Arabidopsis thaliana: one gene and its partners. The protein of the gene in region 1 interacts with the protein of each later gene in a pairwise test. Each region holds a gene or a part of one and is shown in the gene's direction. Other genes may lie near its edges.

The links.
Region 2: the proteins of IAA14 (region 1) and RAT5 interact in a two-hybrid assay, tested with the Arabidopsis thaliana proteins (one large-scale study listed by BioGRID).
Region 3: the proteins of IAA14 (region 1) and ARF4 interact in a two-hybrid assay, tested with the Arabidopsis thaliana proteins (one large-scale study listed by BioGRID).

Annotation. Positions count from the first base shown.
Region 1 is NC_003075.7:8,345,298-8,354,997, reverse strand, and holds IAA14 (indole-3-acetic acid inducible 14), read left to right. Parts: upstream 1-4,734; 5' UTR 4,735-5,074; coding exon 5,075-5,295; intron 5,296-5,486; coding exon 5,487-5,716; coding exon of another isoform or gene 5,717-5,817; intron 5,818-5,853; coding exon 5,854-5,989; coding exon of another isoform or gene 5,990-5,993; intron 5,994-6,301; coding exon 6,302-6,419; downstream 6,420-9,700. UniProt on the Arabidopsis thaliana protein: Aux/IAA proteins are short-lived transcriptional factors that function as repressors of early auxin response genes at low auxin concentrations.
Region 2 is NC_003076.8:22,192,074-22,201,370, forward strand, and holds RAT5 (Histone superfamily protein), read left to right. Parts: upstream 1-4,213; 5' UTR 4,214-4,466; coding exon 4,467-4,655; intron 4,656-5,002; coding exon 5,003-5,206; 3' UTR 5,207-5,419; downstream 5,420-9,297. Other genes in the region: AT5G54630 (zinc finger protein-like protein), read right to left, coding at 534-1,186, 1,422-2,187; Fh5 (formin homology5), read right to left, coding at 5,783-6,640, 6,764-6,999, 7,101-7,300, 7,391-8,006, 8,094-8,712. UniProt on the Arabidopsis thaliana protein: Core component of nucleosome. Nucleosomes wrap and compact DNA into chromatin, limiting DNA accessibility to the cellular machineries which require DNA as a template.
Region 3 is NC_003076.8:24,304,824-24,317,324, reverse strand, and holds ARF4 (auxin response factor 4), read left to right. Parts: upstream 1-4,540; 5' UTR 4,541-5,137; coding exon 5,138-5,512; intron 5,513-5,654; coding exon 5,655-5,711; intron 5,712-5,973; coding exon 5,974-6,159; intron 6,160-6,257; coding exon 6,258-6,342; intron 6,343-6,425; coding exon 6,426-6,516; intron 6,517-6,639; coding exon 6,640-6,801; intron 6,802-6,898; coding exon 6,899-7,018; intron 7,019-7,100; coding exon 7,101-7,176; intron 7,177-7,275; coding exon 7,276-7,441; intron 7,442-7,542; coding exon 7,543-8,231; intron 8,232-8,325; coding exon 8,326-8,516; intron 8,517-8,598; coding exon 8,599-8,767; 3' UTR 8,768-9,070; downstream 9,071-12,501. Other genes in the region: AGL62 (AGAMOUS-like 62), read right to left, coding at 9,805-10,380, 10,673-10,996. UniProt on the Arabidopsis thaliana protein: Auxin response factors (ARFs) are transcriptional factors that bind specifically to the DNA sequence 5'-TGTCTC-3' found in the auxin-responsive promoter elements (AuxREs). Could act as transcriptional activator or repressor.

The DNA of each region.
Region 1 (9,700 bases):
GAAGATGCCTATCTATGGTCAGCTCCTACCATGGTCCTAGTACTATGTCTCTGGTTCCACCAACATTATGTATCGTACTATCAGTGCCAGATTCTCTTATTTATGTCTATGGTTTGTGATCTATGCATGTATGTAGGACCTTGTTTATAAGTTGATCTGCATTATTATCCTTTATACTCCAACTTTACACTTATCATCAAGTAATATAAATTTAACCACTGGGATATAAAAATAAAATTTGACTTTGTAAGGAATTATTGAATCATATAAATATATATCTTAATATCAGATCAAAACCATAAACTTTCATGTAATACATTAATGCGATGTCGCTATTCACACATTTAGATCCAAGAAACTTAAAAAGTGGTCCTAAATCGGGACTTTGCTTCACTTACAAGAACAGTACTATTGTTGATGTTCTATGTATATTATTGTAACAGATGATTCAAACTGAATCATTTGCTAAACAACAAATAACCAACTGCTTGAGTACAACTACATAACGTGACAGAGTATATATTGATAAAAACAAATTCAAAAGTTGTAGTTACGTCGATAATCAGCTATTGTTTTAAAAAACAAAACCTTTGAAACAAATAATTGATCTCTGCTAAGGTATAAAGAATCGTAATCAAAATTTTAGTTTACGAATGCGTAGCTAAATCGGAATCATATATTTATTCAGTTGTCATATTCTTGTATGTTCATAATTAATTATTCTTTATGTTAGATTATTTTTTCTCAGATGAGAAGTAATTTTGGTAACAGAACATTTTGTGAATATGTGTTCGAGTTTTCGTTTCTTGGGAAGATGTTTAAAGTCTCTTTCCTTAGTTCAGTTGATTTTTGGTGTTATTTACAACTATGAACAAGTACAGTACATTCCATTGGCATGACTATCCAAATGTCCAACATTTTTTTTGGTTTGTCACGTGTGAGGGATGTGTCTTTAATCAAGTAGTTAAGTCCATCTGATTCCACCGTTTCTATCAGAATTCGATTCTACTAAATCTCGTTACCTCGCGTAGTAAAAATAGACCATATATCGGACAATGTTGATCCAAAGATGTTAAAAGAAAAAGATACCACGTGCCAGAAAAATTACATAAAAAGTTTCAAATCAAATTCACTCAAGCACTAGACTATCAAGGTGTTCACATATCTTACACTATTAATATGTTATTACAAGTAATAAATAAATTTGGGTCGTATACGTTCTCCATCTATGAACATATCAGTTTGTTTGTTAGTCCAGACCTAGAATCAACTTCACTTCGTCAACAATATGGTCATTTAAAGTATGAACCATATGTTGTTCAAAAAAAAAAAAAAGTATGAACCATATGATGGTTGTAATGTTGAAATTACTCTTAACTTTCGTTTAGATTAACCATGATGGTTATAATGTTGAAATTAGTCTGACTTTCGTTTTAAATATAGTTTTGATAGATGTAAGAATTAATTATTTTGTTTGGAATATATATAAGGGTTGTGTATACCAATCGTGAATTGATTGCTAAATAGAAAATCACGTGGTCAAATGCAATCTGTTGTGGTCACAGGAGAGACCACAATAGATTTACATATCATAAGAACCAACACGTATAACTTCTTGAAAATGGCTTAACATTATAACCCGGACCATCTCATAAATCTCCTTCTACCAATCAGTCACTACTTTGTTTGGACCTGTCTCGTCTTGTCTAGTAGTATCGTTGGGTCACATAATTTAGATAAGTATAAAACAATGTGCCTTGAAAACTTTTCTCGTGTAAAAATTATGATTGAATTATCACAAAACTTTTCTCACATTTAGATCCAAAACTCGAATTATTTGCCATAAAAAAAAGATGATATGAAAAAAGAAACAAATAATTCGAGTTTTGGATAGTATCGTTGACAAAACTTTTGGATATACTATACTTCGACTGTCCAAATTCCACACCTTTACCTTTTTTGGAACTAAAAACATAGGTGGGTCACATAAAAAAATTGTAGGGATTACATTTACGTAGACATCCGTAGGTAAAACAATAAGGTAAACATTTTTAAATTTGTATAATACGATATCAATTAAATACGATATGCCTCTCCACTACCACTAGAACGAGTAAATGAGTTTATGGCTAAAAGTCAAGCGGAACTGCGGGAGCCTACCATCTATAATGCATAATGAAAAATAGATCCACGTAGTCAAACAATATCCACTCTTTACATCTACCAAAAATCAATAGTATCCACAAACTATAGAAGTTCACCATATTTACGCTTCATGTTGTAGAACTTGAAATAGATAAGATTCAAAACCCTAATCATATGTGCATGAAGATAATTGATCGTACGCATTAATTAACCAGTTAAGAAGAAAACAAAAGGATTTGATGAGAAAATTAATTCGAGGGACAAGTGCATATGTTGTTGCATCTAATGAAAGGTGTTTATGCAGAGAAGAATTTGTGGTTGGGAAGATGGACAACGAATAAGATGATGAGTATGAAAGATGCTGCGAGATAGGAAAAGGTATTTTCATTTTATGAATATGTATTATATTGGTTTAGAAACGTTATTGAAAATCTAAAAGAGAACAATAATTAAAAAGATAAAAATGAATGAGAATTTGAATGGTGGGAGTCATAGAAACAATGGGTTATTGGGGGAGTGAGGGATGTTGACAAGGCAAAAACATAGCCTTTGAGGGTTTGGTATGTTTATTGCTTCCCCAATTGGATGTGACTTGTCTCACTATCTTCACCGGATTCAATTGAATAGTACTTTGACTAGGGAAGATGTGTTTTCTTGTGGATATAGGTCGGAGATCGAGTTACCCATCAATAAATATCTACTGTTCGTGTTTTTCAGTCATATTCTATGCATTAAATGTTAATAAAATCCGATCTTTCAAGGATTTCAAAAATTAGTATTGTTTGGGTTATTAGATTGTTCTTGCTATCAAGAAAACCAAAAAAAGGAACAAGCAATGTGTCTTTGTTCGACAGTGCACCACCAATCTGAAAATAATTAGACTACTTCTTGGGCAAAACATTTATTTAATTTTTCTATGCTCCTAGAAAGTAGAAACGGCAAATTACGTAGATAAGTAGAAACAAGTTTACCAGAAATCTCCAATGTAGTGCAAGTAGAATTATTCGTTGGGCTCTCGGAACTCGGAAGCTAATGCTAAAATAGTCCATCATGAATGTAGTGCATCTGTTTTACTAATGGTTTGTGCTAATTAATGTTGTTTATATATGATAGGCTTCCGCATAAGTGATGTTGCTTTTTATTTTATTTTTATTACTAAAAAGTTTAGGCCTAGGAACATACGTCCTCTCAAACTAGAGCATTTTATATGGTTTCTTTCCAAATGTCATTACAACTGGTGATTTCTAGGTTTTGTCTTATAGTCTTTAACAATTGAGCTATTAACACTCAGTAAGTAATGTTATTGACATAAAAGAAATGTTTATTTGTAATATGATCAAATTTAACGATATATTATCAACCAAATAGTTTTATAATAATTATTTGAATACTAATAAAAATAAATATAAATGACTGTATATGTCGATAATATTAAATTTACATGATCTTGATTTACTAATACTCAGTTAGATTGTAACTTTTAATATTTTCATCAGATTTGAATATCAACTTTTGCTGGATATTTTAACTTTTTAAGTAAAGTATTCATTATGGTGTTATTAATTAAAAGGATTATGTATCATTGGAATATTTTATTGTATCTAAAATAATAGTCATTTTATTTCCAAAGATTTCCAAAGGATATTATCCCATAACCACAAAACAATGGGTGGTATAGTTTATATAGAGATCGCAAGTAAAATCCATGTGCACTTTTAGCTTATTTAAGTTTTGAACGGCTCATTATATTCTTATTATTTTTGATATCCAATGATTAACTAAAATCAATGATAAGAAATTTGATTATAATACGTCTAAACAAAGAAAATGTAATTGAGCATGCTAATAAATATAGTCACAAAGCCGCACTTTCCGTCGAACAAATTATACGTTCATGTGTGGTTATACTTGAACCACATGATTGGAAGGTTCGGAAGACAAGCTTATTTTAATTTGATTATGCTCTTTAATAATGATTTAATGGACAACTGAACAAGCCCATTTTCCTAAAATTGCCCCATCATTTCCCGGAATTTCAGGACAATGTTGAGAGAAGATGGTCCAAATTGAAGTAAAATATATACTAAGATTGTTATCATTGATTATTTGTTGTACGTCTTAATTAGGATCAAACTTAGTTGGTCATAACTATTTTCACCGATGCTGACTTCGAAAGTTTTAAGAAATATAATTATATGATTAAATCATATAATAATGTTGACCAAATACGATTCACGGAATTTTTACCGCCCAATTTCTGTATACATGTGATGTGATACGTGAAGAGTTGACCAATGGAGGCAACGTCTAACAAATTGGTAGGCAATTAAAAAAGTACATTAATCATAGAAGTGATCAATAAAGACATTACTTAGACATGTTGAAAGAGGTACTCATGTTTTTATAATATCATTTTTATTTACTCGGAATCTTAATATATTTTCATTTTTATTTACTTAACATATTTTGGGCAAACGTATGTTCGTATTTTCAAAACCTAAGAGATGTAACAATATCATTCAACAATCAACGGTCATCACTCATCACCTATACTTTTCAGGTTATTGACATGAAAGAGTGAGATTTACTAAAACAACCTACCAACGTTTAGCAGAAGGCCACGTGTTGAGAACCCACATTGCAAGAAAATGTAGGGATTCCATGCACTACAGCAGATACACAATAGACCTTTGTATTTTAATAGTTAAAGAATTAGAAAAGTCAGACGACTAATCACGGGTTTAAACCGTTTTTTTTCTACCACTATAGTATAGTACTATAGTCTCTTTCTTCGTCCCTTATATTATCGACTCTATCTCCTTACCTCATTCTTGTTCCCCTCTTATCAAACTTCACCCCCAACAAGAGTTATCGAGAGAGAGAGAAAACATATTCTGATTTAAGACATATATAGACAGCAAGAAGAGATATGAACCTTAAGGAGACGGAGCTTTGTCTTGGCCTCCCCGGAGGCACTGAAACCGTTGAAAGTCCGGCCAAGTCGGGTGTTGGGAACAAGAGAGGCTTCTCCGAGACCGTTGATCTCAAACTTAATCTTCAATCTAACAAACAAGGACATGTGGATCTCAACACTAATGGAGCTCCCAAGGAGAAGACCTTCCTTAAAGACCCTTCTAAGCCTCCTGCTAAGTAAGTTCTATTTACACAATTCCTTAAGAAGAAGACCTTCCTTAAAAGGGAAGACTTTTTTTTTTTTTTTTTGAGATAAAAAGACTAATAGTTGATATAAAAGTTCTTAAAATACATATATATGAAAGATGTAAGGATGCATAAGTAATAACGTTATTGAATGTGTGTGTGTGTTGTTATATTCTATGCAGAGCACAAGTGGTGGGTTGGCCACCGGTGAGGAACTACCGGAAAAATGTTATGGCTAATCAGAAGAGCGGCGAAGCAGAGGAGGCAATGAGTAGTGGTGGAGGAACCGTCGCCTTTGTGAAGGTTTCCATGGATGGAGCTCCTTATCTTCGGAAGGTTGACCTCAAGATGTACACCAGCTACAAGGATCTCTCTGATGCCTTGGCCAAAATGTTCAGCTCCTTTACCATGGGTATGCATTTTCAGACATATAAGTCGAATTATCATTATTATTTTTGTGTTTACTTACAATTTTTTCTTTTTAACGATACAGTTTTTTCCATATACGACTAATTAATATGATAAGTTTTGGGATTTTGATTAATTAAGGGAGTTATGGAGCACAAGGGATGATAGATTTCATGAACGAGAGTAAAGTGATGGATCTGTTGAACAGTTCTGAGTATGTTCCAAGCTACGAGGACAAAGATGGTGACTGGATGCTCGTTGGTGATGTCCCCTGGCCGTGAGTTTCCTCATTCTTCTTGCTTTCATTATTATGACCAAAATTATTCTCTAAACAAAAAAAACAATATTCTCTAAAGCATTATTATTGATATTACTTATCAAAAAAATACACAAAATGATAATCAATATCCATGTGTTATAAACACGCACAGCCATCTTTTGGTTGGCATGGGACAGAACTCAGAGACAGAGAAGATGTTTATATATAAATACTAACTCATCAATATGTTACCTCATTTGTAGCTGGCACATATTCTTTCACTTTCAATAGATTTCTAAATTTAGTCACCAACCCAAATCCCGATTTCAGGATGTTTGTCGAGTCATGCAAACGTTTGCGCATAATGAAAGGATCCGAAGCAATTGGACTTGGTAAGTTTTCTTTTCTGTTCGTTTCTATAAGTGGCTCTTTTCTGTTTTTCCAATAATGCTCGTGTTTTTTTTTCAGCTCCAAGAGCAATGGAGAAGTTCAAGAACAGATCATGAACAAAAAAAAAAGAGGACAATATGCATTGATTTTTTTTTTTTGGTATTGTTATGATCATGTGTTTTTAATTTAAAATATTGGAAGTATATAGGAAAATATAATTGTTTACGAAAAAAATAACTTTAAATATGTCTTTTTTTTTTTTTTTGAAATTAGTCTGTGTTTTTGTTTTCATCTCTTAATTAGTAGAAATCATTTTTTAATATGTAATTGTGATAGTAAATCTATAGAGTTCGTATTTTTGCTATTTAAAATTTAAAATGCTAATACTATATATAATTTATGATAGGTAAATTTACGTTAAATAATTTATCTCCACTTTTCCTACTTTATTATTCTTTTCCTCTTTATTTTCTCATTTATTGGCTTTACAGATTATATTTGAAATTTGTAACTATTTTTGATGTATCTAAAAACATTTCACATAACAATTTCTTAAGAAAACTAAGAAAACTGTTGGTATATTTTTTGACTAAAATGGTTTCCAAAAAGATTTTGAAACGAACTAAAATCTTCATTACAAAACCAATTTTAAAACTACAAAACAAATATTCATGGTTTTAAGTTTCTTTTTTCTTTCCTAGTTACGTGGGAATACGTTATTAAATTCAGGACCCATGAGAGGCGTAGGGAACAAGAGCATGTGCATATTCATGGGTCTTTCAAATTCAGTCCATCCTCTTCATGCTAATGTGCCCTTCACCACTAGAAGCATAAAAATTTTCTTTCCTTTTTGGAAAATCTCTCTGTTTCTTTTTTTTCAGTAAAAATTAAGATTTCATTTATAAAAAATATCATAAGGGGTAAAATACATATGCCGGGTAAGAAAAATAACCAGTTCAGAAGTTAAGCCGGCGAGAAAACGGATTTTCTAGAGACAAATACATATACAAAAAGGAAAAATTCCAGAATAAAAAAAACATATTAAAACTGATCCAAAACTTCCCAAACTTATCACTTAAGAACTCAAAAATCTAATACAAATTCTAAATCCAAATTAAAACAAAATATAGATCTGAGATTAGAGATCCATTCAAAGAAAATAAAATCAATATTCTTCTTACCGTAAACGGCGGTGAGACAAACCAACACCCGAAGACCCAAAGGAAAAAAATCTCATAAAGAAAGGAAGGAGATCGAGATCTTCAATGGTGAGAAGTATGCATCTAAGGCGTTGAAGAATCGAATAGATCTACCTCTGGCATGGTTGGAACGACCAGAACTAAAGCTGTAGATGAAGGAGTAAAAAACAAGCAGCAAATCCCGTAGATGAAAGGATTTAGACTTTATTGATCTAGATATGAGAATTTAGATCTTAAACCATTGGAAGAAAATATGATTCAGATCATACCAAAACAAAAAGAAATCAAAACTAAAGAAAGAAAGTAAAGAAACCTCGCTTCCGATGCTGAAAAAAGCCACTGAAACAAGTAATCTTAGGCAGCGGCGGAGAAAGCTTTTTTATAGAGAACATAGAGCTTTTATTTTAAGAGACAGAAAATTTTTTATTAAATCAAAAGTGATTTTTGAAGTGTTTGGAAAATCTCTCATTTTTCCTTCTTTTTTAATATTTTACAGAAAGTTAGTTATTTGACACAATAAATTAAAAATTATTATTAATTTCCCATTAATGAACTGAAGAATTCTAGTTACTCCTACAATGAATGATAGTTTGGATAATTGATGAAATGATTCCGAATTATTCTCCTCCCTAAATGCTTGGCATAACATCAGAATATCTAAACCATTAGTTCTTTAGTTGGTTTTGGTATGGCATAAGGTGAGAATTCCTAAACATGCTTTCGCAGTTTATAACTCTTTATTTTTAACCTCAACCCTACTATTGATAGGATTTTTTTTGAGATGTCATGTTGAACAAACTTGCTTTAATGTGGCATTGAGGGAGAATCTAGGAATTCACCACTTGCACTTAAATTATTCATTTTCAGCTCAAATCTGAAACAAAATTATGGTAAAGTTGTTGCCTACAACCCTACCTATTGAATGATTCCAGCACCATCCGCCTGTCATCAACAACTTCTACAAGCAATGACATCTCCATTGCACTGCTTCAAGCATGTCATGCGTGTGTTTACGAGGTTTGGCATAAGAGTACCACATGCATCCACAACGCCACAACTCTTTTCCAGCTTCGCTCTACTACAAAGTTCTCAATGTTGTGAGAACAGAGCACAAAGCATGGTCCTTCACGACCCAAAAAGGGTAAAAGCTTCTCCTATTGTATTGCTTTGGAATGTTTTGGAGAGATCCTTCCTATACAACTCCTTTTTGGAGTGATTTCTTGAAAGCTCTACTTCGATGGAAGAAGCACTAGCTGTACGAGCTATTATTATCATGAGTTTCTCTTTAATCTTTTGAAATTAGTCTTCAATATGGAGTCTGTCATGGAGACTTTCATTTAGGTTCGTCGGAACTTCCTATCTGATAAATTTTCAAGCCTTTGTCGTTATTTATAATGTATCGTTTCAATCTTGTTTTTAATTCTACACCGTATGATCTTCTCTGTTTTGAAATTCAATGTTGAATACAATTTGCTTGACAAAAACAATAATGGAAAGCAGTTTGGTTATTGTAGTCATGGTATTTGTTGATAATTCTTTATTTTTTCCTGATTTTACCTGGCTGATGTTTTGTTTAGTTTTTTGATAGAAACTTAGTTTTGATATTTGAGTATTGCTTGTAAGAAAAAATCTTTGAATATTTGTGGCATAACATGGACTAATGGAAAACCCAAGCTCTTAAAAACCTGGACTCAAATATGAAATTTTCGCATCACAACACTTTAAAAGAAAAACTAATATTACATGCTGTGGTTTCGGGCCTGGAGGAATTACGGGCTTCGGCCCAGAACCTCCTGAATTTCAAAAAAAAAAAAAAAAAAAAAAAAGATCAAAGATCAAAGATCAAAGGTTACGTTTTAGATATGCCCTTGATTACATCTCATGTTCCCTGCATCAAAGTAGAAAAAGTTTTTCAATGACTCTTTTTAGCTTGATGCTATAATTATATTCCCACTACAATTTTTTAGGAAACATTTTACTCTAAAAAAAATGTATGTCTCTCTCATTTGATTTTTCCTCCTAATTCAACCATAAACTTCGATATCCTAGTTTACTTTTGTTACTTTCATCTTTCACGAATAAACACCCTAACCTTCTTTTATTCTTTTTTTTTGAAAAAAGTAACACCCTAACCTTACGA
Region 2 (9,297 bases), on another chromosome or scaffold:
ACTCTGAGAAACTTCGACATCTATCTTTAACCATTGATTTCACATCAATTTAATACACTAACATACAAATTTAATCTACAACATAATATGAACAATTTTTATTTTTTTGTTTGTCTCTCTACGTAAGAGAGTTTTCTTGCTGTTAAAATTCTAAGTATAATGGTTAATCAGAACTAAACTTGACAAAAAAGAATTGGTAAACCTTATCAAACCGTAGACTTGTAAAAAATAAGCTAAAAGACACACTTTTTAGTGAAGAAAATTTAAGTTGATCATGAAAATGTGGAAGAAATTTTATTTACATTTTTGTTCCTTTTTTTATCATCGATATTGTGGAATGGCTTAAACAAAATGACAACTCTACAAATAAATCGATTCATTCCACCATTACCATTTCAAAAAAAAATGGCAAAAAAAATTGAAATAAGTAAAATCTAGATATCAATTATCTATTGATTTCAATTCTCATTATACGATACATAAATTTATCAACAAAAGAAAATTCAATCTTTTTCCCCAACATGCTAAATGTTTTAGGGCTTGCAAATGACCACAAAGCAAGGAAGCAAAGCTTTAGGATTAAGCAAATAAAGCTCCTCCACATTTGTATACAAACCAACTTTGCCAGCCAAAGAATCAAACCCACTCATCAACCCATTCATCTCCTCCACATTCTCCACCGGCCGATGAACTCTTCCGGCGATAACCCTACACACAATCAACACTTTCCTCACCGTCCGATCAACATCTCCACTCTCATCTCCACCGTTAACCAAAATCGACTCGAACGCTCTTCCACTAGTAGACGCCGTGAAAACACCAACCCCATTATTCTTCTCCCGTTTCGACGAGAACCCGTTTCGTATAATCCGACAGACACAACATTTCTCCGCCGTGCAAACACTTGTTGACCCGTTTATACCTAAACCACAAGCCACGGTGGTTCCGTGGAACCTAAGTAGCTCGTTACCGTCTGCGAGACATCTTGGATGCTTCTTCTGAAGTTTGCTTGCTCTGATTTTAACTGTTTCTCTGTATTCCTCGAATCTAGCTAATGTCTTCTGCATGTTGTGTACTTTTAAAACTCTATCGATTCTTCCACATTGGTTCTCTGACTTTAACCAGCTTGTTCTGCAGATTATCTCCACTATTTTTCTTGATGAATCTCCTTCTACAAGCTCCGTTACTGCAATTTAGATGAAAGTTATATAAATTTGAGAAACTTTGAATCAAACTGCATAATCAAAATCGGAAATTTAGAGTAAATGTTGTTAAAGTTTAACATTTTAGCTTTGAATTGTTAATTGCAAAACTCTGTTTTTTTCAAGACTCTGTTTTTTTCTTTATAAAAGTTGCGATTTTTATAACCTAACTTTTGTTACTATGAAGCCTAAATTGCATAATTTGTTAAATTTACTTACCGGCATGTTTAGAGAGATGATGAGCTTCAGCAGCTTCAAGCTTATTGAACTGTTCACCACATTTATGACAAGAAACAGAGGAATTGTTGCCTCCATTAATGGTGGATTCTCTGTTCATCTCCAATGAAACCCTTCTGTTTGTATGAAACCCTAACCCTTCTCCTCCTCCTCCTCCTCCTCGATCTCTCTCCGACAAAGCAAACGAACCCTTTCTTGTTTGGCTCCTGTAAGAAGCTGAATGGTTAAGATAATGCATCGGTGTTCCTGGTCTAAGCATCCCTACATAAGTCGTAGACCGACCATTTCCTCCACCGCCACCTCCGCCGGAATCCGCTGCTCCGACAGGTGAAGCCATGTCTCCGACACCAGTGATCTTAAGCTCACAAGTTGAGTTACTAAGAATAACTTCATGAGTTATAGGATTTAGAAACTCATTGCTTCCAATAGAACGAGGACTACTTATTGGTGGTTTCTCGAAATGTCTTTTGCTTCCATGGATTACGTCTTTGAGATTTGCTATTGATCTTGAACATCCTGATAAACCACCACCGCATACGGCGGCTCCGCCGGATGATATGCCGGAGATTTTCTTGGTGGAGATTGTGGAGAGGTGTTGTTGCTGTTTAGTGGTGGATATTGGGTCGTGGACATCAGATGGTTCGGATTTACAGTGGAGGGATTTCTTGAGTGAGAACCAAACAGTTGGGATGTTGTTCTTGCTTTTGTTCTTCTTCTTCTTTTGGCTTTTTTTGCTTGAATCTTCCATTGTTGTTGTCGATATCTCTCTCTTTCTTTCTCTCTATCTTCTTCTTCTGAATATTTTTGGAAGTGATGCTATAATAAATATAAATTAAATATTGTCGCCGGATGATAGGTAATAATAAGTGGATTTTGTCTTATGAGATATATTAAAAAACCAAGTTTCTTTTCTTTCTAGAAGGCATGTACGAGCAAATGAATCTGAAGGAGGTCTACGATGTCTCAACTCACCGATGTAATAAGTAATAACACGAGAGAATGTTTCTTTCACTTACTGTTTTGCCATTCTTAAAAGTGTAAAAACTGAAAAGACTTCACAACATGTTCATAAATCATGAAATAGTAATTTATAGACTAGTCCATATTTACGAATTATCACATTAACTGAATATTGGAATCTTTTTAGTGGTAAACTTGATTTAATGCACGGTAATAAGAAAAGAAAAAACAAGCTAAATTTCATGAACTTGCATTCATTAACAAAATTAACATTAGCCATAAATCGTGATTAATTCAATGATTTTGGTTTTTAAAAGATCTTTTTTTCCTATAGTTACCGTGTAGAGAATCTTGAATTCATGTCATACTTCTAAACTTTTGGAATTTCCTTTAACTTTCTCTTACAGAATTTAATTACAGTTAATACGATCATAAATCAATGAGACTGTGCGTGAGCAGGTTCACCGGTCTAATAAGTACTTTTACTCGCAAGAAGAAACAAATATTTTATTTCTAAATTTACCTTTGAGATTATATGGTGAAAGAGTTGATTATTCTTCTATGATGTCTGAAACCTAGTCAGGCTAAAACTACATATGTATTCACTCACTATTCATAAATACGTTAATCCAAGCAATAATGATGACAAATTGTTGGTCAGTGACAACTAAATGAGAATTACTAATGAATTAATAGCATGGCTATAGGAAATAAAATTGAATAAAAGAACATTGATTTCATTTCTTTCTGCTTGCATCTGTCAATTCACTCTTAAATGCCCCATAAGAGCATATGAAACATTCTGACATTTCTTGGAAAGACAGTAATCAATATACATTTTAACAAGCCATTAAAATTTATACTAAACTTCTTATTATTACACCATGCATGTAACTTTATCACTCTAGTTTGATAAATAACAATAGTTGACATAATATGTTTATACGAGCGGACGGTGAAATATAAGATTTATTTGTATAAACGAAAGTAAAACCGCAACGATAGTACATCAATATTTTTGCATTATCTCTGTTCCTAATAAAGTAACACTGTAGTATTTACATCATATCGACTTCAAAACATGAAGGAATGGATGACAATAACAGTTCGTTAATGATCAAAACACAATAACTCTAATCTGAATTGTGAGTTTGTCAAACTTTGAAAGTGCATTTATTACGAATTGTAGATATCGCAAAGGGTAGATAATGGAAGTAGGTGTGGGTGTCGTTATAGCCATATTGAATTCAAAAGGAAAGACATTAAATTAGAAATTGAATTTTGAAACATGTTGATAGATCATGTCCTTCTTCTGGGTTACCCAGTTTTGCCCTAAAACCTAAAACCAACAGGACCATCATTTCGACCACACCACATTGACTGGTCTGCCCCAATCTAGCTATGATATATCTTAATTTCCGTATGACTTGGATCCATAAATATTGAAATAGATTTGGTGAACACAATTTACTCTTAAAACTTCTTCTCTTTCATGCATGTTCTTTTTCTCACTTTAACATTTTTATATAGTGACATTTTTAGTAATCCAACGTTATTTATATGATTAGTAATTCATCAAATTTATATAGTGATAAAATTCCACAATGGTTGTTCAATAAAAATATGAACAACACAATAGAATTAGTAAAAGTGACTATGTTAAATCATTTTCTTCGCTGGGGTTTGGTGGGCGAGTTCTAAACCCATAAGCGGCCCATTTACTTCGTAAACTCAATTCGATTTGTTCAGCGTTCCAAGCCCATAATATTATTTTCAAGGGCATAAAATAAATTGAGGTTTATATGGAAAATTTGGAAATTCCCTCGTCCAGAAGAAACCAACAAAAACTGCAAAAGTTCAAGCGGTGGGAGAAAAAACTTCAGATCGTAGCCATTCATTAAATTATAATCAACGGTTTAAACCTCTTCGATCCGCGTACTCTATTCTTATTGGTCAAATAACTTAATCCTCCAACATATATAAACAACAATCAGATTTCTCTCTGTTAATTTCGTCAAGAAAAAAATTCGATTTTTTTGCGCTCTTTGTGGGTTGTTGTTGTTGAAAATGGCTGGTCGTGGAAAAACTCTTGGATCCGGTGGGGCGAAGAAAGCTACATCTCGGAGTAGCAAAGCCGGTCTTCAATTCCCGGTGGGTCGTATCGCTCGTTTCTTAAAAGCCGGTAAATACGCCGAACGTGTTGGTGCCGGTGCTCCGGTTTATCTCGCCGCCGTTCTCGAATATTTGGCCGCCGAGGTAAAATTACATCGTCTTTTCTCTCTTTCCCATTCCGTTTCCGATCTTATTCGTCTGACTCTGTTTTTGCGTGATCGATTACGAATCTAGGGTTCTTACATTTTCCGAATTTGACATGCAAAAATTGAATTAGATTCGTGTTTGAATTGAATTGTTGTAGTTCTGTAATTGACCTAATTTTGGGTTTGTTCTGATTGGTTGATGGTAATCGAGATCATATGAATCGTTGTAGTTTTCTCGCAAGATTCTAAATTTTTTTCAATTATGGTAACCAATTTGATTTGAGTTGTTAAAGTTCTCAAATTTGGAAAGTTTGATCATGAATTGTGTGTTTTGAATTTGTTCAGGTTCTTGAATTAGCTGGAAACGCAGCAAGAGACAACAAGAAGACACGTATTGTTCCTCGTCACATTCAGCTTGCGGTCAGAAACGATGAGGAGCTAAGCAAGCTTCTTGGAGATGTGACGATTGCTAATGGAGGAGTGATGCCTAACATCCACAATCTCCTTCTCCCTAAGAAGGCTGGTGCTTCAAAGCCTCAGGAAGATTAGGTCTTTTAACACAATGATATAGAACACGTCTCTCTTTTGGCTTTAGATCTAATAACCTAATAACTAGCTAGATGTTTTCACTTTTTGTATCTTTGCTTTTTTTAATTCCTTTAGGGATTTGTTTCTTTCCGTTTCTGTTTCGACATGTTGTTTCTGTTTTTGTGAATATATGAAAGTATTTTGCGAAATATGAATGATAATGTCTTTCAAAAATGCTGATGCCTTATTCAACAAGCAAACACTGCACTTTGTAGAAGTATAAAGATTTTCTTTGTTGTTGATAGTAATAGTACAAGAAAGAAAAAAACACAAAGGATTATTATTCTATGGCCAACAAGATTGAAAAAATATGAAAAGAAAGTATTTCTAAGACTAAATGTGAAAAAAATTGGTACAAGTGAGTGACAGTGTCTATGCCTCTTTAAATTACATCTGAAAAACTCATAATCAGTGACTAAAACCTGACATGTCTTGAGGGTTAATGCCATTACACTCACAGCAGGAAAAGATAAGCTCTCAGCAAAACAGCAGATGAATTATGTCCTAACAGGTAACGAAACCAAAGATTTGTACTTTTTAGTCTGAATCTGAACTAGACTGATCCACGCGTCTCTCTGTAATAGCTGGAAACAGCTTCTGCCTAGGATCTAATGAAGGCGTTTGTCTTGGAGTTTCAGAAGATGCTGAGGCTGTTGAGCCTTGTTTTCTGGCCATCCTTACGGGTCTTCCTCGTGCTTCTCTGACTTCTTTGCAGGATTTATCTAAGATTATCAGAAAATCGCGCACAATCACAAACAAACGCAACCCTTCGTCTTTTCCTGCTTTGCCATGGAAATAGTCCCCTGTACTTTTCACCAAAGCCATTATTCTCTTCTCTTCCTCGAGTATGGACATGATGCTTCCTTCAGCATTTTGAATAAAATCTTCAAGCGCTTCACGAAACCCACTCTCCTCGCCTGAACTTTTCATCTCTGAGTTGACAAAGTCTCGAGCTTTCGACAAAGCATGACCCATTTTAAGAACAGTCCCTGTTAAACCATCGGCATCTATGTTTGCAGATTTCTTTACATGTTCAAGCTCACTGCTCAAGCCTGAAACTTTCTCAAGTCCAAGATTACGGTAATTCTCTTCTGACTCTTCAGAGGTTTCCTCGACTAGGAGATCCTCTGTTTTAACACTTGAGAAACTTTGGCTCTCTCTGATAGTACGAGCCGCTCTTACACCTTCAGTCCTAATTATCTCTTGAACAACAAAGTGGAGGAGCGTTGTTTTCCCATCTGTTCCCTTGACGTCTGCTAATTTCAAAAGAGTGTCCAGCTTGAAAGCTTGAGCACCACCCCTAAATGTACCATCATTCATTCGGTTTCCGGTCTTAAGAACTGCCTCTAAGAGCTTCAGGAACAGCCGACTTCCCCTAAGTTCTTTACAAGCAACCTTTCATATACACCAAAGAATATACGTTTAGATTGGAGAAGAAAGAGTCTTGAGAAAGACTAAGAAACTGTAATATGTTTTTCTTTTCAGAACAAAGTTTTTGTAAAAGATTAGGAAACGTACCTCCAATTTCTGAAATGATTCTTTAACAAAAGCCATTTCTTCATGGAGTGTACACATAAATAGAAGTGCTTCTAGACGCTTGAAAGCAAAAGGGATATCAACGACTGCTTTCAGGAATCGTTCAGCGGATCCCAGTTGAGCTATTTCACCGCAGTATAATCTAAGTTTTAGTTCTTCTTCTGGTGTTGGTGCCATCTTTAACAGAGTCTGAATGAATTCTACAGGAAGCTCATTTCCTAATTCAACGAAAATTATGTTAGCGAACACATAGGAGAATGTTGCCAGAAAATCAAAATCTTATTTTCCACCTAAGGAAAAAGAAAGAAAAGAAGGTTACCTTCGCGAAGTGCATCACACACTTCTTCAGTTGTCGCATTCAAAGCACGCAAAAGAATTGATAGATTTTGTCCTTTCTTTGGTTCGAGGATCTGAACAAACTGAGGTAAAGCAGCTTGTCCAGAGGACCCCTTCTTGTCGTTTTTATTCTTGTCTGCTGCTGCATATCCAAATAACGACTCTATCATCTCTTCATTGAACCTGGAAAACCATCACAAGTTGTATTCAGTAACTATGCCAAAGTTATATGGTTATAGTATACCGAGGCAAAAAGCTAACAACTTTACTCACTGAAAGGATCCTGATCTTATATCATTCCAAACCATTGAATGTTCTGGGTTTGCTTGCACTTTATCCCAGAAAAATGGCTTCAGCTTTGTTTTGGGAGCATCATCATCTAATGCATCTGCTGGCCCAGAAGGCGGTCGGGGTGCTTTTGGGCCCAGACTCATTGGTGGAGGCGGACGTGGTCCTTTTGGTCCAGGAGGAGGTGGTGGCTTAGGCCCACCAGAACCAGGTGGCGGAGCTGGAGGGGGCGGTCGTGGAGGACCAGCAGAAGATGGCATTTGCGGTGCTGGAACTGGCGGTGGAGGAGCAGAAGCCTTTTTCGAGGATACCTTAAGAAATTTGGGTGGTTCCGGTGGAAGAGGCTCCACTTTTCCAGAAAAAGACTTCCCTGAAAGTACAGAAGCTGTTCTTCCAGGTGGAGGCTTCAAAGGTGGAAGCCCGTGATTGGTAATACTATTATTTCTCAGGCCTTCGTGTGATAGCCGTTCTTCTAACGAATCTGAAGTGTCAGAGTTACTTCCATCGAAAGATGACATTTTTCCTTGGTTTGAGTAAATATTAAAAGATTGATGACCCTGCTTATCTCCTTTGACCGAACCACCATAGTTGATGGAGGAACCTGAAAACATTAAAAAACATTTTAGTCTCTATAGTTCAAGAAATTTCTTGTTAGATTAGTACAGTGAGAAAGTGGAGATATTATTACCAACAGAGTAATCACTACTGCTTAAACTGAGAAGAGGCCTTTCATCGTTTTTCCTGCCTCCTGAACCATTTCCACAAACCCTGGAGCAGCATAAGAAGAATAATGCAGCCAACAAAAACGTAGAAACTGCAGTCACAACAACAGCAATGATGATTGTTTTCTCATGATCCTCTTTTTTTTTCGCAGGTGAAACAGGTGCAGAAGTTGAATTTTTAGAAGCGTTTTTCTTAGCAGGAGGAGGAGGGGGAGATCTTGATGGTGGAAAAGATGATTTCCGAGGAGGTGGGGATTTTGGTCGAGTAGGTGGGCGCGGAGGCCCCCGACTACGCTTAGGAGGGCGGGAAGGTGAAGGGGAAGGGGAAGAGCCGGGTTTAGTAGCTAGATTTCTCCTCGGAATATCAAGCATAGATGATAAGAGCTCCAGATACTTGGGGTTATGACCATTTAACTTTCCTTTTTCTTGGATACAATCAAGAAGAGTCTGCTTCAGATTGGTATGGTTCAAACCAAATAGTTCCCTACTATCCTTTGATCCTGGAAAACATAAATTGAATTCTGCCACAGCTTCCTTCACACAATCTGAATCTTGCCAACAACGCTGCGCCCATGATGTTTCTTCCTGTCAAACATTGTACAAACAAGAGAGAAACAACTATAAGAGCTATAAAACATTTTGAAAAGCATATCAGTAAATAAGAGAGAGCCAACTATAATTCCAAGTATGATTACAAATGGCGAATCCAAACTATTTTGCAAGAATCGTTCTGAGATGATCTTAGCTTTCTTATAGAGAACATGAATCAAAAACAAAAAATGTGATCTTAGTCTCTAAAGACCTAAGCTTTCAGCAAGAAACAAGCTATGACTCGCAATTCTGTCTGGATAAAATCTACTACGGAGCTACTTGATCTTCTAGTTTTATCACACACAGACCATAGGAATGCCTTACAAACGAAAACATATCACGATAGCGACAAGCGTGAACTGAAAGCTTTAGCAGCAACAAATTGTTCTCTGAATATGACTCCATTGATTAAAACGTAAGTCAAGACTATTACATGAATAACACATAATTCAAAACCTATCGACTTTATATAGCAGGATACAAGCTAATGATCATAATTCTCTTTCTCAGACACCTAGATTCTTACAGGGTACATGATACAAACCCAAAAATGCAATCTCAGTCTCTAAAACATAGCTT
Region 3 (12,501 bases), on another chromosome or scaffold:
TCTTGTTATTTAAAGCATTCATCTTTGTGAAGATTCCAAACTGATATATTTTTCAAGTTGGTGTGAATCTTCTTCAGCGGAATGTTAGTAGAGCCATGTTTGTTGTCTTTGTCAATTGGAACTTCTTTGGTTCAAGAAACTCGACGGCATTCATCACACGGACTGATCTCATTGCTGTCGACTCTGATAGACACAGATTGAAGTGAATCCGGTGGAAGATGATGGCCCATTAGAGATTCGGATCATAGTTATGATAAGTCCTAAGCCCCAATACTGATAGAACGGAAATAGAAGGCCCATTAAAGATCCGGGTCATAATAATTATGATCACACCTAAGACCCAACACTTATAGAAAGGAAATCGCAGGCCCATTAGAGAGTCGGTTCACTCCCAACTCCCAAGCCCCAACATTATGATAACTAAAATCATGCCATAATTCGATATCAACCAATATTATGTAACAACAATAGACCCTAGTAACAATTGTAATTGTAACATGATGACACCAACTCTGTTCAACTCTAAATCAACATAGAATTTGGTTTCTGATCTTTATAATTGTGTTGGCAAAATAACATCATCGAGGACTGATATCTAACGATGATGAGATTACTTATTATTGTGAATGGTTTACAACGAGGATCGAGGATTATAGAGTTTAGTTTGACAAGCTTCAATTTTCACTCTAATCGTTTTGGTCTGTTTTTTTTTTTAATAAACTTTAAACCAAAAAAAAAGAGTTGAAAAAGTTAAAATAGGGGCCCAACTTTTAATGTAGGCTCCAATTTGACAAATTGCTTTCTCCTTATGGGATACCATTTGTCTCTACAATTCTTTTTTTTGATGGGCCTACTTTTCTTATCACAAGTTTGATTTATGAATTCTACTCAACCTGTTTTTAATTTTCTTGGCTATGTAGTTCTATTAAAATTTCTGAAAATGAACTTTTTAATTAGTTTCCCTTCATAAAACACAATTTCAAGAATACCGTGCATAGATTTTTATTGGATTTTTAAAATGACTGTAACTAATTCTCTCTGTGTGTGGTTATTCCGGAACCGCAATTAACTACAAACATGTTAAAAAAAAAGAAAGTAAAAATAGTATTACAAAAAAAAATGAGAGGGAGAGAGAGAGAGAGGAGTGTCTTTAATCGAATGATACAGACACTTGTGACTTTAATAAAGTCATTGGCGTTGCTTTGTCGTTTTCTCGCGACAATATTTTTGACACGACGTCTCCTAATTATCCACCTCTGTCTTTTTCCTTTTTTTTTTTTGCTCTGCCAAACAATAAACTTTTTTCTTCTATTTTTAATAAAACCATCTCTACTTAAATATCAATATTATAAAAAACAGTATGATTTCATTATATATTGATTCTTATTACAAATTACGCCAAATTTATATAGTATGTACATGCAGGAATCTCGTAAACTCAAAAAATACATATTAAAAATATAGTACAAAGAAAAATTGCCATATATTTGAAAAGAACAACAAATATCCATAGGCTAATTCAATCAACTTGGTCAAAAGAAATCAGGCAACAAATATGGCTATGGATATGTGCTATTCTTTCCACACATAAAAAAACATGAATATTTTGAAACCTCGGTACAAAAAAGAAAATATAATATTTTCAGAAATAAAACTCGATAAATTGAACGTTATGATCTCTACAATTTAGTAATTTACATGTATGCCGCATGAAACGAAACTGAAACAGAGAGAAGAAGAAAATCAGAACCGAGCGTGATGGCTTGTACCGTAAGAAAGGGAGGATAAGAGTTTTACCAAAAAAAAAAAAGGAGGATAAGAAAAAAAAATGGAGGCATGTAAAAGACGAGATAAATACAAATAGAGGATGAATATATGCTTAGGTTTTTTTTTATAAACACAAGCTTACTTTGAGTGGAGAGTCAAAGCATCCAAGTGGCTCATTTCTTCAAATGGATGCTTAATTACTTTCAGCAGGAGAAAGTCACAAACAAATTTAAGTGGAATCTTTATTTCTATAATTCTATTATTTTCAGAGCTATATTGCTTTATGTGTTGTATTTTGACAAATTTACGTGTATATAATTATATATATTGAGTTTTTGGTCCAAAACTAACTCACATCATAAAATTCAACCGTGGGACTTCTCACAATATAATCAAATTAGATGTCTTTTCTAAAATTGTACAAAATCGACTTTCTTAGTAAAATATTATTTTAGTTAGGAAATTAAGAAACATGAAAATGAGATACGATCCACTCTTTCTTTTTAGTACTAATTAAAAAAAGATAATCTTTGACTAAAAGTTATGATCAGCAGACAGAAGAATATGGTAATCATATCATTAAGAATAAGAGATTACACGTTTCGAATTATGGTGCAACATCAGAATAAACAAGATATATATTTCTAATCAGAAGTACTAAAGAAAAAAAGTGAGAATATTAAGCTAGTTTTAGAAGGAGTATGTTGCATGAAAAATGTAAGAAAAACAATAAAGAAGGTGGGGGCCAAAGAGGCAGCAAATATCAAGGGGGTCTTTGTTAGTTGTTGGGACTCAGTCACTAACTCACAACTTCTGAAGAAGAGACTCATTCTTTCTCCTTCTCCCATCCCATCATCCTTTTTGTTTTCTTCTTTTCTTATTCTTTTTTTTCTTCTCCAATGAAGTTACGAAAGGTTATTACTCATAATCAAATGTTTTTAAAAGTAGATAATTAAGTAAGTTGCGAAATTGTGAAAGGAATATACAAAACATAATATGATACTTTGATCAGGTTATATGAATTAGTAGCAAACTAATATTATATGAGCAAAAATACATGTTACTAGATTTTAACCCGCGGTACACCGCGGACACAGTTCATTTTTAAAAATTAATATATATAAAAATTTGTAAATTATTTTATAGTTTACCATTGTTACTAAGTAACGTCCTGCCAAACCCGTCCTGCCAAACCCGTCCACAAAAAAAAACTATTTATTTTATTAATGTTGATCTTATTTATAATATGTTTATGAATCATTGTCAAAATATTTTAGTCGTTGCGGGACGTTGTACCCACACATTTTTCGCCAATTGGTTAATATATGTTCATTCTTAAAATTTCGAATTACAAAATATGACGAAATTTTTTTTGAGATTTTTTTAAACTTTATATATTATATAATGATGTTAATTATTTTTGATAGATTAAACTTTTTATAAATTCAAATATTAATAATGTTTTATGAAGTTTAAATATACAAATAATAATATTTAAAAAATTAATATTTTTTGCCTTTTAGGTAAATGATATAATAACTCTAAAAGCAAAATTTAAAAGATTTAAATCTTTAAATAAATATTTTCATGCCTAAATAATTAATGTCAGTAGCATGACATTGTAAATAAGTTCAAATACATGATTTGTTTATTTAAACAAAAAATATTTAGTAAGAACAATATTTATTTAAACAAAAAATTTTGTTAATAAAATACGTTTATGCTAATTTTAAGGGATTGATGTGAAGTTTGTTTGGATTAAATTTGATTGATAATGTGATTGACAATTTAAATTAAAAATTTAAAGTAAAATTAATTATTTTGAAAAAAAGATTTAATGCTAATGGCATTGGGTTGTAAATAAGTTCAACTCTAAGATTTATTTGCTAAAATGACTGCAAAAATGTATATATAAATGTTTTCAAATTATGAAGCAATCATTTGGACCATCAAATATATTTTATTTATTTTTACTAAACCCATTTGAAGATATTTATCCAATAAGTAGTAAGTATTTGAGTAGTTTTATTTTACTGAAAGAGTCGGTGTGGTTATTGAAGTATAAATTTTATATTACAGACCGCTGAAAGTTTTTTTTAGTTGATTAGGTTTTTAAACACAGACAGTACTTTAGTTAATCAATAACAAAATGCTGATTTTCATATTGTTTGTCTCAGAAAAAGAGAGAAAAAGTGCTTTTGTTACAAAATCGAAAGGAGCCTACTCTTCTGTCTTTAGCCGGTTGGTTGGCTCTTAACAACGCAATGAAAAAGCATTTTTTCTAATAAATCGAAAACAAATAAAAATTCATAACATAAAAAAAGAAAGAACAAAGAAAGATTCCAAAGAGATACTGTTTCCTTTGTAAGAGTATGCAAAGAAAAAGCTAATCAATTTGCGGTTTTTATTCCTCACAACTCACACAAGTTAAAGAAAATTATGGTGTGAATGAGAAAAACAAAGGGTTACGTCAATTTCGTAATACCATAAATCCAATAGATGCATATAAACTTTGATGGTTCATTTTGAGTGAATAGTCTAGTATGAATAATTAAACGATTGATTCATCGATGGTTTGACGTATTTAAAAAACAGTTGATTTTGAAGAAAACAATCTAGACAATGGATTGAATTAGTCTTATTAGCACCTAATTAAACTTTTAACATTTCTTCTTTCAACAAAAAGGACGAAAATCAAAAACGGTAATAATTAGCAAAAAAGTGAAAACTTTTATTTTGTGTAAACGTGTGTATATTGACACAAATATAGTTTTTATATATAAAATTTCATGTGAATAAATAAGTCTTTATTGGGAAACAAAAACAAAAAAGAGAGAAGAAGAGGAAGAAGAAGAAGAAGGAGAAAGGGAGAGTGTAGGTGTGGGTTCTGTTCTGTCTTGGCTTTGTCTCCCCCGCTTATCTCTCCCTCTCTTTCTCTCTCTCTCTCTCTTTCCACTAAATTGTTTTTTTTTTGCTCTTTAAAAAGTATATTTTTTTCCAATCTGCAAATTTTAGTCTATGTCTGTTCCTTGTGCTCCCTCTTCTCAGTACCTGCAAATGGAGGAAGAAGAATCCTTCTCTGAAACCCTTGTTCTCATTTGATTCCTCCTTCCTCTCTCTTCTTCTCTCTCTGTCTCTGATTCGTTATTCCACACTTATGACTCATCTTTCCCGTCAATAGCTAAGTTTGCCTCTTCTTTGTGAAATTTAGCTGAAAAAGGAGAGGAATTCCGAATTCTGTCACTTCAAAGCTCGAATTTTGCAAACTTTCCTTTGATGGGTTTTACTTGTTTTGTTGTAATCTGATTAAAAATAGAAACTTTTTGTTTTCTTCTTGTCTCCTTTTGCTCTTAAAAGAGAAGCTTTTTCAATGGAATTTGACTTGAATACTGAGATTGCGGAGGTGGAAGAGGAGGAGAATGATGATGTAGGAGTAGGAGTAGGAGGAGGAACAAGAATTGACAAGGGTAGGCTTGGAATTTCACCATCTTCTTCTTCTTCATGCTCTTCCGGATCATCATCGTCATCATCTTCTACAGGCTCTGCATCTTCCATTTACTCTGAGCTTTGGCATGCTTGTGCTGGTCCTCTCACTTGTCTTCCCAAGAAAGGCAATGTAGTTGTCTATTTCCCTCAAGGTCATTTGGAGCAAGATGCTATGGTTTCATATTCGTCTCCTCTTGAAATCCCCAAATTTGACCTTAATCCCCAAATCGTCTGCAGGGTGGTTAATGTCCAGTTGCTTGTAAGTCTGTCTGTATCACTCTACCCAAATAAAGAACATTCCTTTTGTGTTCTATTTTACTATTCTTGAACAAGTTCTGTTTTCTTTCTCTAATTGTGGTAATTGTTTGCAAACTTGGTTCCTTCTTTTGGGGAAACAAAAGGCTAATAAGGACACCGATGAGGTCTACACTCAAGTCACTCTGCTTCCACTTCAAGAGGTACTCTCTTTTACTCAAACTTGTTGCTTTTTTGACAATTCAATTGATTTTTGATATCACTAGTGTAATTCCAGATTCTAGGTGTGATTTTAGATGCTACGGTTTAAAGAGATTGTGAATAATCTTGTTTGTTCTCTAAGTGACTCAAACTCATCATTGGTTTAACAGGATCAGAGGAATCACTGAAACCGTTGGTCTTGTTGAGTTTCATTTATAATCTCTGTGATGTTAAGATGCTGAAGTAACTTCTTGGTTTTTATAGTTTTCGATGCTAAATGGGGAGGGGAAAGAGGTCAAGGAGTTAGGAGGGGAGGAAGAGAGGAACGGAAGCTCATCCGTCAAGCGGACACCTCATATGTTCTGTAAAACCTTAACAGCGTCTGACACAAGCACACATGGAGGCTTCTCTGTACCTAGAAGAGCCGCTGAAGATTGTTTTGCTCCTCTTGTATAATTCTCTATATCTCATTTCCTTATTTTTTTTTTTAAGGAGAGGTTTTATCTTCTTGTTATAAGCCTTATTTGTGAATTTTCCACTGGTGTTAGGACTACAAACAACAGAGGCCATCTCAAGAGCTCATTGCAAAGGACCTCCATGGAGTAGAGTGGAAGTTTCGCCATATCTATAGAGGTGGTTTTGAGTTTGTTATTATTCGTTTCTTTTTTCTTCGTCAGTGAAACCAAAATGTTTAGTTCTGTCTCTTTTTAATATAGGTCAACCAAGGAGGCATCTACTCACCACTGGTTGGAGTATCTTTGTCAGTCAAAAGAATCTCGTCTCTGGTGATGCGGTTCTCTTTCTGAGGTAATCGTAAGATTTCAGTTTATCAAATGGTGATGTAGATTCATGGTGTTTCCCTCTGCTTTGGTGGTTTGAAGCCCTTGATCCAATAATGTTTACATTCATTACTAATATCGGCGTTTATAGAGACGAAGGAGGAGAGCTGAGATTAGGAATCAGAAGAGCAGCACGGCCAAGAAATGGACTTCCTGACTCAATCATTGAGAAGAATTCATGTTCAAACATTCTGTCTCTTGTGGCTAATGCTGTATCTACAAAAAGCATGTTTCATGTGTTCTACAGTCCACGGTGAGATAAAAATGAAAAGCTGCCATTCGTAATGATTCTTAACTAGGTTCAGTAAGAAATAAAGAACTATAATGTTGATTTGTGGATTTATATACAGAGCGACGCATGCAGAGTTTGTGATTCCTTATGAGAAGTATATCACAAGCATCAGGAGTCCTGTTTGCATAGGCACAAGATTTAGAATGCGATTTGAAATGGACGATTCTCCTGAGAGAAGGTATTGTTTCTTTCTTGCTTCTTTCTCTGTGTTGTGTAGCTAATATTGTTGGACGAGAATTTATATTCGATCTTTCTTGCAGATGCGCTGGTGTAGTGACTGGAGTCTGTGACTTGGACCCGTATAGGTGGCCAAACTCTAAATGGAGGTGCTTGTTGGTGCGTCCTCTCATCTTTTTGGAGTATCTGTCTATTAACGTGTAGAAGACTTTTCATTTTCGAAGATTGATATCTAAATCTTTCACATTTGTTTGGCAGGTGCGATGGGATGAGTCTTTTGTGAGTGATCATCAAGAAAGAGTTTCACCTTGGGAGATTGATCCCTCGGTTTCTCTCCCACACTTGAGCATTCAGTCATCTCCAAGGCCTAAAAGGCCATGGGCAGGTTTACTGGATACTACCCCACCCGGAAACCCCATAACAAGTAAATTATATAGACCTCTCTTCTCTTTGGAGTATATGCTTTTGCAAACAGTTCTCAATTTTCATCAGTATATTATTGATAACTGTTCTTGGTTGCAGCAGAAAGGGGTGGTTTTTTGGACTTTGAGGAGTCGGTTAGACCCTCTAAGGTCTTGCAAGGTCAAGAAAATATAGGTTCTGCATCACCCTCACAGGGGTTTGATGTTATGAACCGCCGGATACTGGATTTTGCGATGCAGTCTCATGCAAATCCAGTTCTTGTGTCGAGTAGAGTCAAGGATCGATTTGGTGAGTTTGTAGATGCTACTGGCGTGAACCCAGCTTGTTCAGGTGTTATGGACCTGGATAGGTTTCCAAGGGTCTTGCAAGGTCAAGAAATTTGCTCGCTTAAATCATTCCCGCAATTTGCTGGTTTCAGTCCAGCTGCTGCTCCTAATCCCTTTGCTTACCAAGCCAACAAGTCAAGTTACTATCCGCTAGCTTTGCATGGGATTAGGAGCACTCATGTTCCGTATCAGAATCCATACAATGCGGGAAACCAATCCTCGGGTCCCCCTTCACGTGCAATAAACTTTGGTGAAGAGACTAGAAAGTTTGATGCACAAAATGAAGGTGGCCTACCAAATAATGTTACAGCTGATTTGCCATTCAAGATTGATATGATGGGAAAACAGAAAGGCAGTGAGTTGAATATGAATGCTTCATCAGGATGTAAACTTTTCGGATTCTCCTTACCAGTGGAGACACCTGCATCTAAGCCGCAAAGCTCGAGCAAAAGAATCTGTACAAAGGTAAAACGTTTTCTTTATCATCTCTTTGGCTACTTTGAGTTGCAGTTTTAGATGTCTCTTCTAATCAGTTCTTGTGTTGAATTGTTATCAAAAGGTTCACAAGCAAGGAAGCCAAGTGGGGAGAGCTATTGATTTGTCGCGACTTAACGGGTATGATGATCTCCTTATGGAGCTTGAACGGCTGTTCAACATGGAAGGGCTTCTCAGGGATCCTGAAAAAGGATGGAGGATCTTATATACTGATAGTGAGAACGATATGATGGTCGTTGGCGATGATCCATGGCAGTAAGTTCTTTATACATACCTTCTAAAGGTCAATCACAACTTCTTTTCTCCTAACTTGAAATTGGCTTTCTGCTATGGATAGTGATTTCTGCAATGTGGTGTGGAAGATACACTTATACACGAAAGAGGAAGTGGAGAATGCGAATGACGATAACAAGAGTTGTTTAGAGCAAGCTGCTCTCATGATGGAAGCATCAAAGTCATCTTCTGTGAGCCAGCCTGATTCTTCTCCTACAATCACTAGGGTTTGATACCCATAAAGAAGCTTATTTCCTATGTTTTAAAGTGTGTTTTGCTCACAAAAGAACTTCAACTTTATCTTTGTCTTTGAATCCATTTATGTGTTTGTTTGTGTTTCTTCTGGTCTCCATGGATGTCTCATGTGTACCGTTTTACTCGAGAGATATGTGAGTTTATGGGATGTGTAAAGCATGCCATTGGATTTTAAGGTTTTCAAAATTACAATATATATATTAGTTTTGAAGTATTTTGCTTGATTTTGAAAATTTCATTTCTTAAGTTCTTACATATGTGGATACTCTTGTATTGTTCTTACAATTTTTTTATTTATTTTTAGATTGATATCTAATACATACTAGATATTTGATGATGATTTAATCTTTTTTAAGGAAAATAAATATTAGAGTATACTGCACGGATTAATTAAATAGAATGATGTGACATAGATTTAGCCTTTTTTTCAACTAAAAGTTAACCTTAATTTTATTATATTTTCCTTAAATTTAACATTAATTTTATTATATTTTCTATATTAGAATTAGATTTTTATCATTTTAGGAATATTTCACAATATCTGTATTTCATCATTATAAGGAATGAAATTAGAGGGAAAGCCATTGTAATGCTGTCATTTCATTTTTTACAATGTACCAAAATATGTGGGATAATGTATGTACTATTTTAGTTGAAAAATGGTGCACACAGAAATTTTCATTATGCTTTTTTGCAAATTTATTTTAAAATAGTACATGATTGATTATGATTATTACCTTTCTGTGTTTAAAATTCTGCAATTGCCCAAAATGCGTAAACGTAACCATGGCAGACTAGTATTTTCAGAGGCGTAATGCATTTGTTTCCGACACATATAATTTATATATAGCAATAACATAATTTTGAAATGAAACAACACAATACAACATAATACTTAAACAAGAACAAGAAAAACAACAACAACACATGTAGAAACATAAATAAGAAGAAATAAAGATAACCTAAACACACAACTTTTTGTCTAGAGACTTAAGTTGGATCACACAACAAAGGGTTAATAGTAATCAGATCTAGACTGGGGAGGATAACCATGATGATGTTCATATTCAGAGATGTTTTCTCTCTTAAAACTCTGGTTTTGGATTTGGATTTGAACTTGATTTTGGTTTTGGATTTGGTTTTGGTTTGGGTTATACTCTGGTCTGAAGTTCACATTGTATTCTGGAACAAACCCTTCATTAATACCATAAGCATTGTTTCCAAAGGGTGGTAATGCATGATTAGGGTGAATTTGGTTCTGGTTGTAGTTGAAGGCATTTATGTCCATCATTCTTCTTTGGCTAAAGAGATCCATATCAGGGTTGATATGACTACCATCATCAATCCCAAAAGCAGCATTATTACTAGAACTTCCCACATAGAAGTTTGGAACATTTGCCTGAAAAAATCTGGAAGCTTCGACTGTAACTACTTTCTTCAAATTTTCAAGATTACCTTTGAACCCCTCGAGTTGAGATAACGCAAGTTCCTCAACGGGATCTTCCCACCAATTCCCAAGGGCTTTTGTCTTTTCTCTTATTTTCTTTAACTCGTCGTACTTCTTTTTCTCTGTTTCTAATTGACTCAACACCTGCAAATATATATACAAATAAAAACACCAATAATATTATTAATTTTCATACCATATGATTCTATAACATTTCATCGGCATTTTTATCTAACATACTATTAGGATATAAATCTATTCTAGTTATGGAGAAAAAGACTGTCTAATGTTTTTTATATATTATTTATTCACCTGCGAAAACTTTTACTTATATATATTAAATAAAAAAAGAATTTAACCATAGAAATTTGGGTTTTATGATTCATAGAAAACACTATTTTGTTTTAATCATACTTAAAAATAAGAGTAAGATTACCTGAGTAAGATGATTATTCAGATCCTGAACAATCGAATTTCGACGAGTTTCTCTAAGTTGCATGTTGTTGTGTTGGTGAGGAGGTAGAGGGTTATTGTTTATGAATCGATCAATTACAGAATCAACATTTGGATGACCAAAAGAAAAGACTTTTCGACCAGGTGAGAACACAACTATGGCCACTTCTGCACCACAAAGTGTGCAAAGCTCACTAGCCTTTTTGAAAAGTCCAGATCTTCTTTTTGAAAAAGTAACTTGAAGGTTACTTTCATTTTTCATTTTGACCATCTCTATTTTTTGACGACCTTTGCTTTTTTTCACCATTTTTAGTGATATTTGAGAAGCTAAAATATAGGATTGGTGTTTGTAGAATGAAAATGCTCATGTATTTATAGCAGAATATTACAAACCAAATAATTAATATTTGAGTTGTCTATGAGTAAATTTCAACTTTGATTTATTATATTTTTATTTGAATTTGAATTTTACTATTTTTGTAACATTTCATAATCTTAATATTCAATCAATATATGGTATGCAATACAAATTTATTTGACTATTATCTTCTCATTTCATTTGTACAATGTATCCAAATCTGCCAGAAAGATCCACCTTTAATTAGTAGTGATCTTTTCATATCTAATAGTAATATTATTGGAATATTTTTTTTAAATATAGCAACAAAAATGGCGGCGTAAAAAAAATTACTAACAAGTAACAAGCGTAATATGGTCAATATGTTTTTGATTTACTGATACATCATTTTCGTTAATTGTTTAATATTCTAAACTTAATCTCATATTTTAATATATTAAAAAATCGTTATATTGTTATCTGAAATTATTTGTCGCTATTTTCTAAAGTAAAACATGTATTCTCTCGTTTTTTTTTGTTAAAGGGTCTTCTTATGTATTCTCTCGTTATTGGTGATTGATCTATTATCGATAATGAAAACTATTTATGATAAAATGATTGTATGATTTTTTTAGCAATTGTTGTAACAAATATACTCCGTTACATTATTTATGCAATCATATTCTTTGCTACTTTTTAGATAGAACATATTTTTCTTACGTTATTAGCGATTGATTTGTTATCACTAATGAAAAATATTTATGATAAAATTGTTATGTGATTCTAGCAACTCGGCCACAATTGTGATAGGTTTGAGATATATATATGATTAAGCCCGGCATGACTATGAACTATTTCTTTGTGTTCCATACACATATATCCTTCTCTCTTTATATATATATACACACTAACCTTTATATGATGTAATTATCATCTAAAAATAGTTTATTTATATATTTATTTTAAGAGAGTATATTATAAAAGATTAGATTCAAGGAAAAACATTCGATATATTGTTTATCGGATGAAATGAGTTTATGAATTTTGCACTAAATAATGTTCCTTTATGAATATAGAAAACTTAGTTATTTATGTGATAAATACAGAAAAAATGAAAATCGTCAAAAACGGATACCATGAGATAACACTATAATTTTGAGAGCTTTAAGATAGAATTATTTTGTTTGGACCGTTATATAGAATATGAAGACCATTCCAAATTCATTATTATTTCTGATAAATTGACAATAGATATATGCCGTTACATTACTTACTAACTCTGTTTTTAAAATAATAATGGAATACATTCCTCTATTGTTATTGGCGATAAATTTGTTACTGATAATAACATATATTTATGATAAAATGGTGATATCTTATTTCCAATAATATTTATAGCTCCCCTATCTCATTTGATGGATTGATAAAAATTATTTGAATGACTTTATTATTTTTTGATAATTTGAAGCCAGATT